3 linked regions of the Caenorhabditis elegans genome follow. The protein of the gene in region 2 purifies or fractionates together with the protein of the main gene of each other region. This does not show direct contact. Each region holds a gene or a part of one and is shown on either strand. Other genes may lie near its edges. The genes, in order: fah-1, rpia-1 and F08F8.7.

Region 1 (3,756 bases), on a different chromosome or scaffold from region 2:
AGCATCTCCTTCTGGACGGATACTGACGGCCAAATTGATGTCAAGGGTAAATGGGTCATCGTGATGGAGATATGCTGGTGGAACTGGATCTTGTACTGGATTCTCAACAAAGTATGGACGAAGAGCTTCAATTGAGACGACCCATGGAGAAACAGTTGTGGCAAAGGATTTAGCAAGGAATGGGCCGAGTGGAACGTATTCCCAAGCTTGGATATCGCGAGCTGGAAAAGTTTTTTTTCGGATGAGTATGGAGCAAACTTGAAAATAACTACTGTTGAATTTTCTTGTCACCAAAATGTCGAGTTTAAATGTTTTTGTTTGATATTTAATTAACATCGTTACTCACCACTCCAGTCGTTCATGAGCACAACTCCAAAGATACGATCCTCAGCCTTCTCGATTGGAACACGAGTTCCCAATTCATTTTCTGGACCTCCCACAAAGAACGCCATCTCGAGCTCAAAGTCCATAAGCTTTGATGGACCAAACGATGGAACCTCAGCTGAAAGCGGACACATTTGCATTATTGGTGCAAATCTAAATCTTACCATCTGGGGCCTTAGTTTGTCCAACTGGTCTTTTCAAGTCTGTTCCAGATACAACGATTGATGAAGCTCTTCCGTGGTATCCGACCGGAAGCCACTTCCAGTTTGGCATCAGAGCATTTTCCTTTCCACGGAACATGATTCCGACGTTGGTGGCGTGATGGATGGAGGAGTAGAAATCGGTGTAATCTCCGATTTGAGCTGGAAGGTGCATTGTAGCATCGGATTGAGCGACAAGAGCCCGGCTTCTGTAAATAAAAACATAAGAATATTATTACAAAGTTTCTTGGTTGTTTTAAACAGAGTTATATGTAAGTTGTGCGCAAAACGTACAAAGCTTCTAATTACAGTATGAGATTTCAATTTATAAATCAAAAATTAATATAAAAATGTAGGTTTTTCTCGATTTTGAAATAGATTTTTTTAAAAATAATGCCTACAAGTCGCCAACAAAGTTTAACGATATATTTAAAGTCAAATGAAGTATTTCAAAAACTTTGACGGGTTTCCAGGCGTTCTCAATAAAATAATTTTTTTCAGATTGACCGAACATTTTCACATACTTCTATATACATTTCAACTTGCCAACTTGCTGCACAGTATTGATTCAACTTTGCAATTATAAACTAACGATAAAAATTAAAACTTGTGAAATAGTTGTTTAGATTTGGTTAGTAGATTATCAGACACACTTTGTACTACTTTTTAACTTTTTCAAATTTGTTTTGCCAACTTATTCACCTCAAATGAGCGTTATCCCTAAGAACAGCACAATCCTCTGAGAGCAGTTGTTGGATTCTTGCACGAGCTTCCAACCAGGCTGGACGTGGCAGTGCCATGAACGCGTTCAATGTGCTCTGCTTGAAAACATCCTGATGTGCCTTCAATTGAGGTCCGTCAAAAAGATTGGCAATTTCTGCCAAGTTGAGGATTTGATCTCCAATTGCAACTCCAATGTGGCGGGAAGACTGAAAATATTTAGTTTAATTTTGCTTTAGAAATAATTATTTATACACTTACGTCAGCCTTTGTTGAGAAAACACCATACGGTAAGTTTTGAATTGGGAAATCCGAGTTTTGAGGAACAGAAACGAAGGATTTCATGATTTAGCCTGCAAAGCAATACAAGTTTTGAAAAATGGAGTTGAGTAGACAGCAGTCTGTTATGTCTCCGAAACTGTACACGCATGCGGCGTTGAAACAGAAAATAGCATACAGGTTGGAGAGGGTGCTAGTGACAAATACAAAAAGGAGTCGTACACGCATAGGCCAAGGTCGATACACGACTAAACGACCACCAATAAAAACAAAACGATAACCAAAAAAAATGACTGCACACAGACAGTGACAATGACAGATGTGCACCACTGAAACCGCTATATAAGGTCTCACAAATCTAATTGAAAAGATAAGATGATGATAGTGACGTCAATTGGATAAAACAATAGAGTATATCAGATAAGTTTTGACAAGAGAGAGAAAACTACATTGGATGCAAATTGAATTGCGAAACAGTCACGTGATGATTTTTTCTTGAATGTTTGGATGGCATTATTCTATAGTTGTTTGTTTGCATTGGCAATGATACTGTTTCATGAATAAAAAGCAAGTAGGAGTATGACGATTTTAAAGAGTGGAGAACTAGTGTTTTTTAGAGTTGCTTATGTTTATAATATAGAAATCTCAATTCCATGAAGATAAATTGCTACTAAAACGCTTTTTATATCAGAAGAAAAACGGTCTCTAGCAATTTGTATCTTAGAAAACTCTTACCACCATTTCGAGTAGAGAAAACGTTTCACAATCGGATGTAGGTTTTTAACCTGTAGATTTCAGATCACCACAGCCTGCTGAGCAGGTCAAAAGTTGTAACTTAAAGGTGAGTTGTATTGTTAAATATTATCGGTAATTGATAAACAGGTACGGCGAGTGAAATGGTCAAAAAAATATAAAAATAATTTATTTCTATAATAAAGGGTTGTAATACACAAGAAACATTTTTTAAGGTTAAACATTTTGAAAATACAAACACCAACAGCGATGAACTATTGAATTAACACTTTCTCTACTGTCGTTGAGTATAAGTGTTAGTTTCAAACTTTTTATATCTTGTTGGATTTTGCTTTTACGAAATCAAATTGAATTAAAAACTTTCAAAAAATTAATTTATTGAAGCCAGTAGTGGACAGAAAAAGCAGGAAATACAGACAAAAAAAAAACACCAAATAAGTTTATTGCAATGGTTTGAATGCATAACAGGTGACATCTTCCTTAAATGCTTGGCAGAATGTATCGGTATGAGCTATGTAACTGAATTCTCCTGTACCACAAATAACGTTCACCTCATGGCCTAGTGTTTCTTCGGCAATTTTCTGAATGTTCCTCTTTGATTCACTTGCATCTTCGCTAATATTCTGAAAAGAGAGTAGGCTTGACGTGCAAAACGAGTGTACTCACATCAAGGATAATGTTTTTCAGTTCGGAACTGTTACACGAAGGGTCGATTGTTTTGGCTGCAAATGCGGCGCGTCTCACACTTTTGTACTTGCATGGCGATGAGCAGCCACAGCAACAATCGTTCTGAAATGATATTTTCTTAAAGGTTCTTTCAAAAATCTACCAACCTGAGCTGGAATTCTGACTGATGGTACAACTGCACCACCTCCACATCCTCCAGCTGTTGGCATTGGCTGAGGCATCATTGGCTGATAGTACTGGGGAACATATGATGGGTAGAACGATGGTCGTTGCATCATACACGGGCAAGATGGTCTCGGCATTGGTGGAGGTGGTGGAGGGCATGGCATTGGCGGTGGTGGAGGCGGAGGACAAATTGGTGGTGGTGGACAGAATCTGTGAACAAGCATGTGAATATTCTAGGTTTATTGCTGAAACTTACTGAGCCGGGCATGGTGGAGGTGGAGGACAGACTGGCATTGGCATCGGCATTGGCATCGGTGCAGCACATGGCATTCTTGGTTGGCACATTGGAGTCGGGCATCCTCCACACCCTCCTCTACCAAATGGGTACTGAGCAAAGGCAAAATGAAATGAAATCTGAAAATCCGAATGAGTAAAAGAGATATTCGATGATTCATTGCTTACCAAGAAAACTGCAACCGACAAAGTACTCATATTGCGCAAATATGGAATGGAAGTGGAAGAAGCTATGGTTTCCGACCACACACGCGGATATTTATACTACTTCGCA
Region 2 (3,481 bases):
ATTCAACAAAAAAAGATTTTTTTTTTTAAATTTTTGTTGCTAAACTGAAAATATCAACAAAAAAAAAGATGTAGCAAACTGTACAATTATATTAATATATGAATTATATGAATGAATGACAGTATCGTGATTTTACGAATTATAAAAGTTTGATTTTAAAAAAGCTTACCCAGTCGCAAAGTAATCTCCATGTTGGCTGATGGCGAGTGTTGTTCCGTGCACAGCTCCATCGTCGGTGAATGTATGTTGCGATGATTTGGTTCCCGGCAATCCAATGTTTGCGATCACAATTTGGCCGGTCTCTAGAAATTTCGAATAATTTTTGAATTTTTGGCAATATAAAACCAACCGCAGATGATCCAAATTTCACGGCTGTGCGATGGGAAAAACTTGATTTCTGACGCATTTGCTGGGAGTGATATTGTTGTGATATGCTCCATCGACTGAAACATTTTACATTTAAACTTTTAATTTGCCAATAATTTAATTTTTTGACATACAGTAGCATGGAGAACATAGATGTGAGAATTGTGTCCTGCAATTGCCAAAAATTGAGAGTCATGCGAAATGGCAAAGAGCCGAATTCCTTGCTTTGGTACTGCTGTAAAATGTTCAAAGTTTTGCTTCAAATTTTATTAAATATTAAACGTACTGTTTGGAGGTTTCAACTGTGTCACTTCTCTTGTTTCCATATTGTACTGCATCAAATATTCCTTTCGGCTTGAAGAACAGATCACAGAGTGTCCTTTATCAGCAATTTCCAGACTATCAATCGGGAATTTTGAGAAATTCGCACTTTGAAGGAAACGATCCTTTTTAACCTCACGACTTACCTGAAATAAGTAAGGAATGGTTTAATTAAAACAGAAAACACAACTTACTTTAAAAAGTTGAACATTTCCACCTTGATCGGCAACAATGAGCACTGGTCGGGTTTTATGAAATTTAACAACAGTGATTCCACGAGTGTATCGGTGTCCGATGTTGAAATCTTTTATAAGAGTTGTATGAATAGTTGTTTTTGGTAAATTCACGTCTTTCGCCAAATATCCGGCAGCAGTTTTCAACAATGACCCTTCTTCTTCGTCTCCTAAAATTGTAAAATACGATTTTTGAACTATTGATTTTCCAAAAACCTGCAGCAGCCTTAGCCCATTTTGGTGTGCCTCCGTGGCGTTTTCTGAACGCCTCTTGCAATCTACCAACGTATTCCTAAAATATTAAAATTATTTTTCAGAAGTAATTTATCCTTCTGCCTATTTTCAATTATATAATCTTTATTACACGTTGAATAACGTATTTCTAAAAAAAATTTACCTTTGAATCCAATTCTCCATGTTCTTCGTCTGTGGTTCGCTTGAGTTCAACTCGCATTGTCATTTTCACTTTTTTTGGAACCGCCACAACCATATTATCGTCGTCCTCATCGTGCCACGCAGGCTTTTCAGACTCAATCACTGGCCGTTTGCTCATTTCTCTGAAAATTGTTCAAAATAACCTTAATGAAAGATTCAATAAGCTGAAAATTAAAGAAAATTCGGAAAAGAAAAAAGAAAAATGAGAAGCAATTGTCGTCAAATAGTGTGTGTTATCGTAGTTTTAGTGCAAACACCGTCACGTCTCAATGCAGAATTTCATTAATTTCAGTATTTCAGCTGAAAATTTCAGTCTTTCTTATCAATTTACTATTGTTTTCGTTTTCTTTTCAGCATTTTTGTATGTTTTCTACAAAATTTCCATTATCAGGAGTATTGCGAACCGCCAGAATGGTCACCTCCACCGGCCCTGAAGCAGAACTGGCTCCTATTGAGCAGGCGAAGAAACGAGTAAGTCAAAAATTAAGACCAATTCCAACCCTCATTAATCATTTCAGGCTGCGTTTGCCTGCGGTGAAAAATATGTGCAAAGTGGTTGCCGTCTTGGTGTTGGATCCGGAAGCACTGTCAAGTATTTGGTAGAATATCTTAAACAAGGATTTCAGAATGGAAGTCTCAAGGATATCATCTGTGTTCCAACCAGTTTTTTGGTAAACAGATTTTCAACAAACCCAATTGTTATAAATAAGTATTTCAGACAAAACAATGGCTGATTGAGTCTGGTCTCCCTGTCTCCGATTTGGATTCACATCCAGAACTGGATGTGTGTATTGATGGAGCTGATGAAGTTGACGGACAGTTCACGTGCATCAAAGGCGGAGGTGGATGTCTGGCTCAAGAAAAAATTGTTCAAACCGCTGCAAAAAACTTTTACGTGATCGCTGATTATTTAAAAGATTCCAAACACTTGGGTGATCGCTATCCGAATGTCCCAATTGAGGTAAATTATTTAACTTTTTATAATTATCAGTAAAGAAAGATGCACTAAAGAATAAACTTTAGAACAATAGTTTTTTCTAAATAGATGTAGTTATGTTGACTGTTTTTAATGAGATTTATTGCAGGTTCTACCTCTTGCTGCTCAACCACTTCTACGTTCGATTCCACGCGCTGAAGGTGGAAGCTGTCAACTTCGACAAGCTGTCAAAAAGTGCGGACCAATTGTGACAGACAATGGAAACTTCATTATTGATTGGCAGTTCGAGAAAAACGTATCCGGAAGAGATTGGTTCGCGATTCAGCAACGATTGGCCAATACACCAGGAATTGTTGAAACCGGATTATTCATCGGTTGCGTCGACGCAGTATTCTTCGCGTACTCTGACGGATCTGTCAAGGAAATTGTCAATTCCAAGAAGCACTGACTACTTGCATCGAATTTTGTTCATATTGAAAATTAGTTGTTTCTTATCACCACCACACTCTCCAAACTTCACTTTTCCTCTTCCCAGTTGTTGTGAAAATTGTACCCATTCATTCCCAATGTTCCTAGTATACGTGTAGTTCTTAGAATAGCCCCAATAAAAATTGTGTTGAAAAAACGTCTTTCTTAAAAAACTGAAAAAAAAATTAGAAAACTCTGAAAACGTTTTGAAATGTAAAGTGTCTGGATGTAAAGTGTCTGAAACTGTTTAATTTCAAATTACAGTAGTCTTGAAGTGTATGAATGGCGAGGATAGCTTAAAGATTGAAAGAAATGAGAATTTGCTTCCTAAATGACTCATTGGAGGCGGTAAAATTAAGAGCGAGCAATAATTTCAAAAATACTGATAAAGTTGGGAAATAAGTAAATATTTCAAAATTTTTAACAATTGCTGTATTAAAAAGCACTTTCGTCAAATCGTATCATTCGTATTCTATTCATTCCAGATTGTTCAAATTTTAATTTCCAAATGATTACATCTGAATTGAGTGATTTCCTCGAGATCAACGAAAAAAATAGTGTTCTAAGAGGAATATCGGCAAGCGATAAGGTATGATTTTGTGCACTAAGAGATAGGCACGGTCTCTGCTTAAAGACAAATGTAGTTTCAATTCAACTAGCTTGTGCTCATTTCAGATACTTTCATCAGGTATTTGTCAACTTCTTTTTTCTGAAAATGGGC
Region 3 (3,756 bases), 220 kb from region 2:
CGTGAGATCATGTTGACTCCGAAGCAATCTACAAAGACTGCAAATGCTGGAGGAAGAAGCAAGGAGCCGTCGTTGAATACTGCAATGAGCCAAGAGGCAGGAAATATCGAACCACGAAAGACTCCGAGTAAAGATACAATTGGAAGTACTGGAGTATTGCCATCAAATCAGGATAAGAAGACTCCGAGCAAGGAGAAGGAAAGTGTTAAAAATGTAAGCAACTGAAGAATGGTCCATGATGTTTTGTAATGCTCTTTTTTCAGACACCTGCTCCGACCCCGAAGCTAGGAACTGCAGAGCCCATCTGAACTTTATAGATAAATAAATGCTGCTTTGAATTTTTTAATTGACAATCATTTACTAACTATTAACATCACAACCTCAAAAAGCTCTGAAAAAATGAGCTTCAAAATTCAAAACAATATTCAAGTAATTAAGAAAATCAGCACTTCGAAATAGCAGCTTCAACTGCATTTCTGATTGTTGTCATGGCGACAGATTGATCTGCAGCTTTGATGATTCCAGTTCCACTCACGATCGCATTGGCTCCAGCTTGAGCAGAGATTTCAATATTTTCAGGTGTTACTCCTCCGTCAACTTGAATAGTCAGATTTGGATATTTTGAACGGATTGTGCGAACCTGAAAGCCATAAATTTTATTCGTATCAAATAAAAACCAAAATAAATACCTTTTCCATCATGTTTTCCATGAACTTTTGTCCTCCAAATCCTGGTTCCACAGTCATGATAAGAGCATTATCCAAATGATTAGCATGTCTAAAAAGTTTTTTAATTTAAAATCTAGATTGAAATATAATTTTGATTTTACTTCAAAATATGCTCAACAGAAGTTCCCGGTTTGACCGATAATCCCACTTTCATTCCACTTTTTCTGATTTTTTCGATCAATTCACTGACTGCCACATCACCATCTACAGCCTCATAATGGAATGTGAACTGGCTGGCACCAGCTTTTGCCATCGGTTCAACCCACTGTCCAGGATTAGAGACCATCAAATGAACATCGAAGAATGGTTCAGCACCAAGAGATTTACGAAGAGATTCAACGACAGGGTGACCGAATGTGAGGTTTGGTACAAAGTGACCGTCCATCACGTCGAGGTGAAGCCTGCAAGTTGGGAGCTGGATACTATGGGAACGCAGAAAGTAAATCCTTTGAAAATCCAAGTGGAAACGTTACTTACTTACTGCTAAATGAAAACGCTCCGCCCCTCGAACCATGGGTCTCATTAGGTATTGACATTGATAGTTTAAGCGTTTTCAATTAGTCCTGCCAATTTGTGTTTGAAGATGAAAACAATTTCAATTTGCGATTTTGTGGCCAAATACCTAACGAGACCGTAATCTCGGGGGGTCGGAGCGTTTCCAATTGGCCGTGGAGTACGTTTCCATGTTGATTTCAGAAGAGGTTTTTGTGCGTTCCCATTTAGATTTTTGAAATCTAAAGGGACATTTAAATATGAAAGTAGTTGTCAAAACTATTCAGAATTTCTAAAGATCACCTTACCAATCTGCTCCAGCTGCTAAAAGTTTCTTGCATTCAGAAGCCAATGATGCAAGATCGGCATTCAGAATTGATGGACACACAAATGGACGGAGGGTCATCTGAATTCTAGATAAATAAATTTTATCATCCAGAATCAATGAACAAATAAAGTTATAGAATTAAACTTTCAACTGTAAACTTTCAAAAAAATCTTTAAATAATACTTTAATTCATAAATATGTATACCCAATTGTTTCACATCGAGAAAAAAACGAAAAAGCCAAGAACTCCATTATACTCGAAAGATTACAAAACGAGAAAATTATTTACAAGTAAAAATTAGAAAAACGGTGAGGAATATCACAATGAAAGTGGTGTGCGTTGTATGAAGGGACAAGGGAATAGTACAAAAATCGATTATTCTTATCATTCAGTTTCTATTTTTCATTGACACAAAGTAATAACAACTCGAAAACTTGATAAAAAGTTACGACTGCCGATTGTTAAATTTCTTCGAAAAATACGAAAATCGGAGTTCGAAAAAGTTTTTGAGTTTTTTTTTGATATTTGAAACTGATTAATTGATAATCCAGAAAATTGTAAAAATAAGGCACGATGAGATGACGGCAGCAAGGATCAGTGTGTTCTTCTGCTTTTTCGTTTTGATTTTTTGCATCAAATTGTTAATTGCAGGATATTTTTCTAAAAAAAGTTGTTTTGATAATTATTATGCAGCTTGTAAAACTGTTTTTCAAAAATGTTGAGTCTCAGTTGAAAGGAGGAATTTTTTTTTGAAATTTTTTCGGCTTTTTGGAGAAATTCTAACTTTTGTTTTTCGGTCCAAATTTCAAATAAATTTTTTGTTGTTTTTTTTTAAAGATTTTTTGTCAAAAAACTGTATTGCAAGAAATTTGAACTCAAGTTTATTAGGTCTAAATTAATCTAGATTGACGATTTCAAAAAAGATCGGGTGTTTCAGGAACATTTTTATCAGAAATGTTCATAAATACTTAGATTTACTTTAATTGTTTCCCTTTTAAAGATAAATTACTTGAAATATGATGAAGCCGAGTTGATATTCCACGTAGATTAATTCCCTGTCTGGCCATATTCTCTTTCGTTGACATTGCCATTTCTAACTGTTCATCTAACAATCGATCACAAGCGTTTATATGGTCATTCTCCTGAAATTAAATTAATTAGTACTACTTTCTTGAAATTCTTCCCAAAAATACCTTCAAATACATATCATATCCACGAGCCCTGTTGTTCAGTATAGGATTATTACGATTTTCATTTGAACTGCTCAACAAGAGTTCTCTGAATAATATCGTATTGTTTAATTTAAAAAAAGTATTTTTCATACCTCTGTAATACCTGATCAACATTATCTCTTGCACGTCGATACTCACTACCGTAATCTCGAAGAATTTCTCGATGTCGTCGAAGTGTGTGTTGAATGGCTGGATTATTAGCCCAAGATGCCGAGGATTGAGCACCAGCTACGTCATTCATCTGAAGTTGACGAATTTAAAAACAAAATTGAAAATAAACTAACATCATCATTGATATTTGTCAATTGCTCTATCAATCCTTCGATTTCTGTTGTCACTGTTTTGAAGCTCGTTTGTCTTGAGGAAACTGTTTTCTCGTCGATGTCAAAACCGCCTGAAATATTTTTTCAATAGGAAACATGTTTATTAAATATTTTTCTGAGAGACATGTTCGAAAGTTGGTTATTCAAACGCCAAAAATACTGTACCCGGTCTCGACACGAAAATGTTCTTTATAAATGCCCTTTTTGGTTTTTTCATTAGTTTCTTTTTCTTTTTTAAAGTTTTTTTTTCAGAATATATAATATTTGGGTTTTTCAAATAAATACATATATTTTTTTTGAAACTTCCGCATCAACACAATTCAGAAAGTGCAGTACTCTTCAAAGGCGCACACTTTTTTGTATTTTATGAAAATGTTTCGTGTCAAGACCCGGTATCGTATTTTCTGAGGATAAAATCGTAAAATTCTTGGTAATACTTACCATGAGAGCTAGCCGTTAATTTATTCAGGGAGACGAGCTTGACATCGATGGAATTTTCTGTGCTTCGGGCTTTCTTCCGCAACGCTTCCCAAGTTTCTGACATTCTGTGTTCCTGAAAGTATTGTTTTTTCGAGTGACTGAAATGTTGGTCACTACTATGAGAAATAAATATATTCATCGATATTTTGACGATTAGAAAATTAACAACAAA

What was found.
Region 1: the proteins of rpia-1 (region 2) and fah-1 fractionate together in Caenorhabditis elegans (co-fractionation; one large-scale study listed by BioGRID). This does not show direct contact.
Region 3: the proteins of rpia-1 (region 2) and F08F8.7 fractionate together in Caenorhabditis elegans (co-fractionation; one large-scale study listed by BioGRID). This does not show direct contact.

The regions. Positions count from the first base shown.
Region 1 is NC_003284.9:6,447,260-6,451,015, forward strand, and holds the start of fah-1 (Fumarylacetoacetase), read right to left. Parts: upstream 1,658-3,756; 5' UTR 1,650-1,657; coding exon 1,566-1,649; intron 1,514-1,565; coding exon 1,287-1,513; intron 794-1,286; coding exon 549-793; intron 503-548; coding exon 347-502; intron 222-346; coding exon 1-221. Other genes in the region: grl-6 (Ground-like domain-containing protein), read right to left, coding at 2,777-2,959, 3,003-3,125, 3,170-3,398, 3,445-3,602, 3,651-3,680. UniProt on the Caenorhabditis elegans protein: Fumarylacetoacetase involved in the tyrosine degradation pathway.
Region 2 is NC_003281.10:7,121,419-7,124,899, forward strand, and holds rpia-1 (Probable-ribose 5-phosphate isomerase), read left to right. Parts: upstream 1-1,709; 5' UTR 1,710-1,766; coding exon 1,767-1,826; intron 1,827-1,873; coding exon 1,874-2,026; intron 2,027-2,073; coding exon 2,074-2,316; intron 2,317-2,440; coding exon 2,441-2,740; 3' UTR 2,741-2,917; downstream 2,918-3,481. Other genes in the region: B0280.9 (U3 small nucleolar RNA-associated protein 18 homolog), read right to left, coding at 170-302, 350-443, 501-601, 653-833, 882-1,090, 1,137-1,212, 1,318-1,473; B0280.2 (uncharacterized protein), read left to right, coding at 3,269-3,349, 3,436-3,481.
Region 3 is NC_003281.10:7,345,517-7,349,272, forward strand, and holds F08F8.7 (Ribulose-phosphate 3-epimerase), read right to left. Parts: upstream 1,634-3,756; 5' UTR 1,627-1,633; coding exon 1,529-1,626; intron 1,130-1,528; coding exon 830-1,129; intron 778-829; coding exon 690-777; intron 641-689; coding exon 443-640; 3' UTR 339-442; downstream 1-338. Other genes in the region: F08F8.6 (uncharacterized protein), read left to right, coding at 1-213, 264-308; gos-28 (Golgi SNAP receptor complex member 1), read right to left, coding at 2,085-2,209, 2,559-2,691, 2,743-2,827, 2,874-3,022, 3,066-3,175, 3,546-3,648.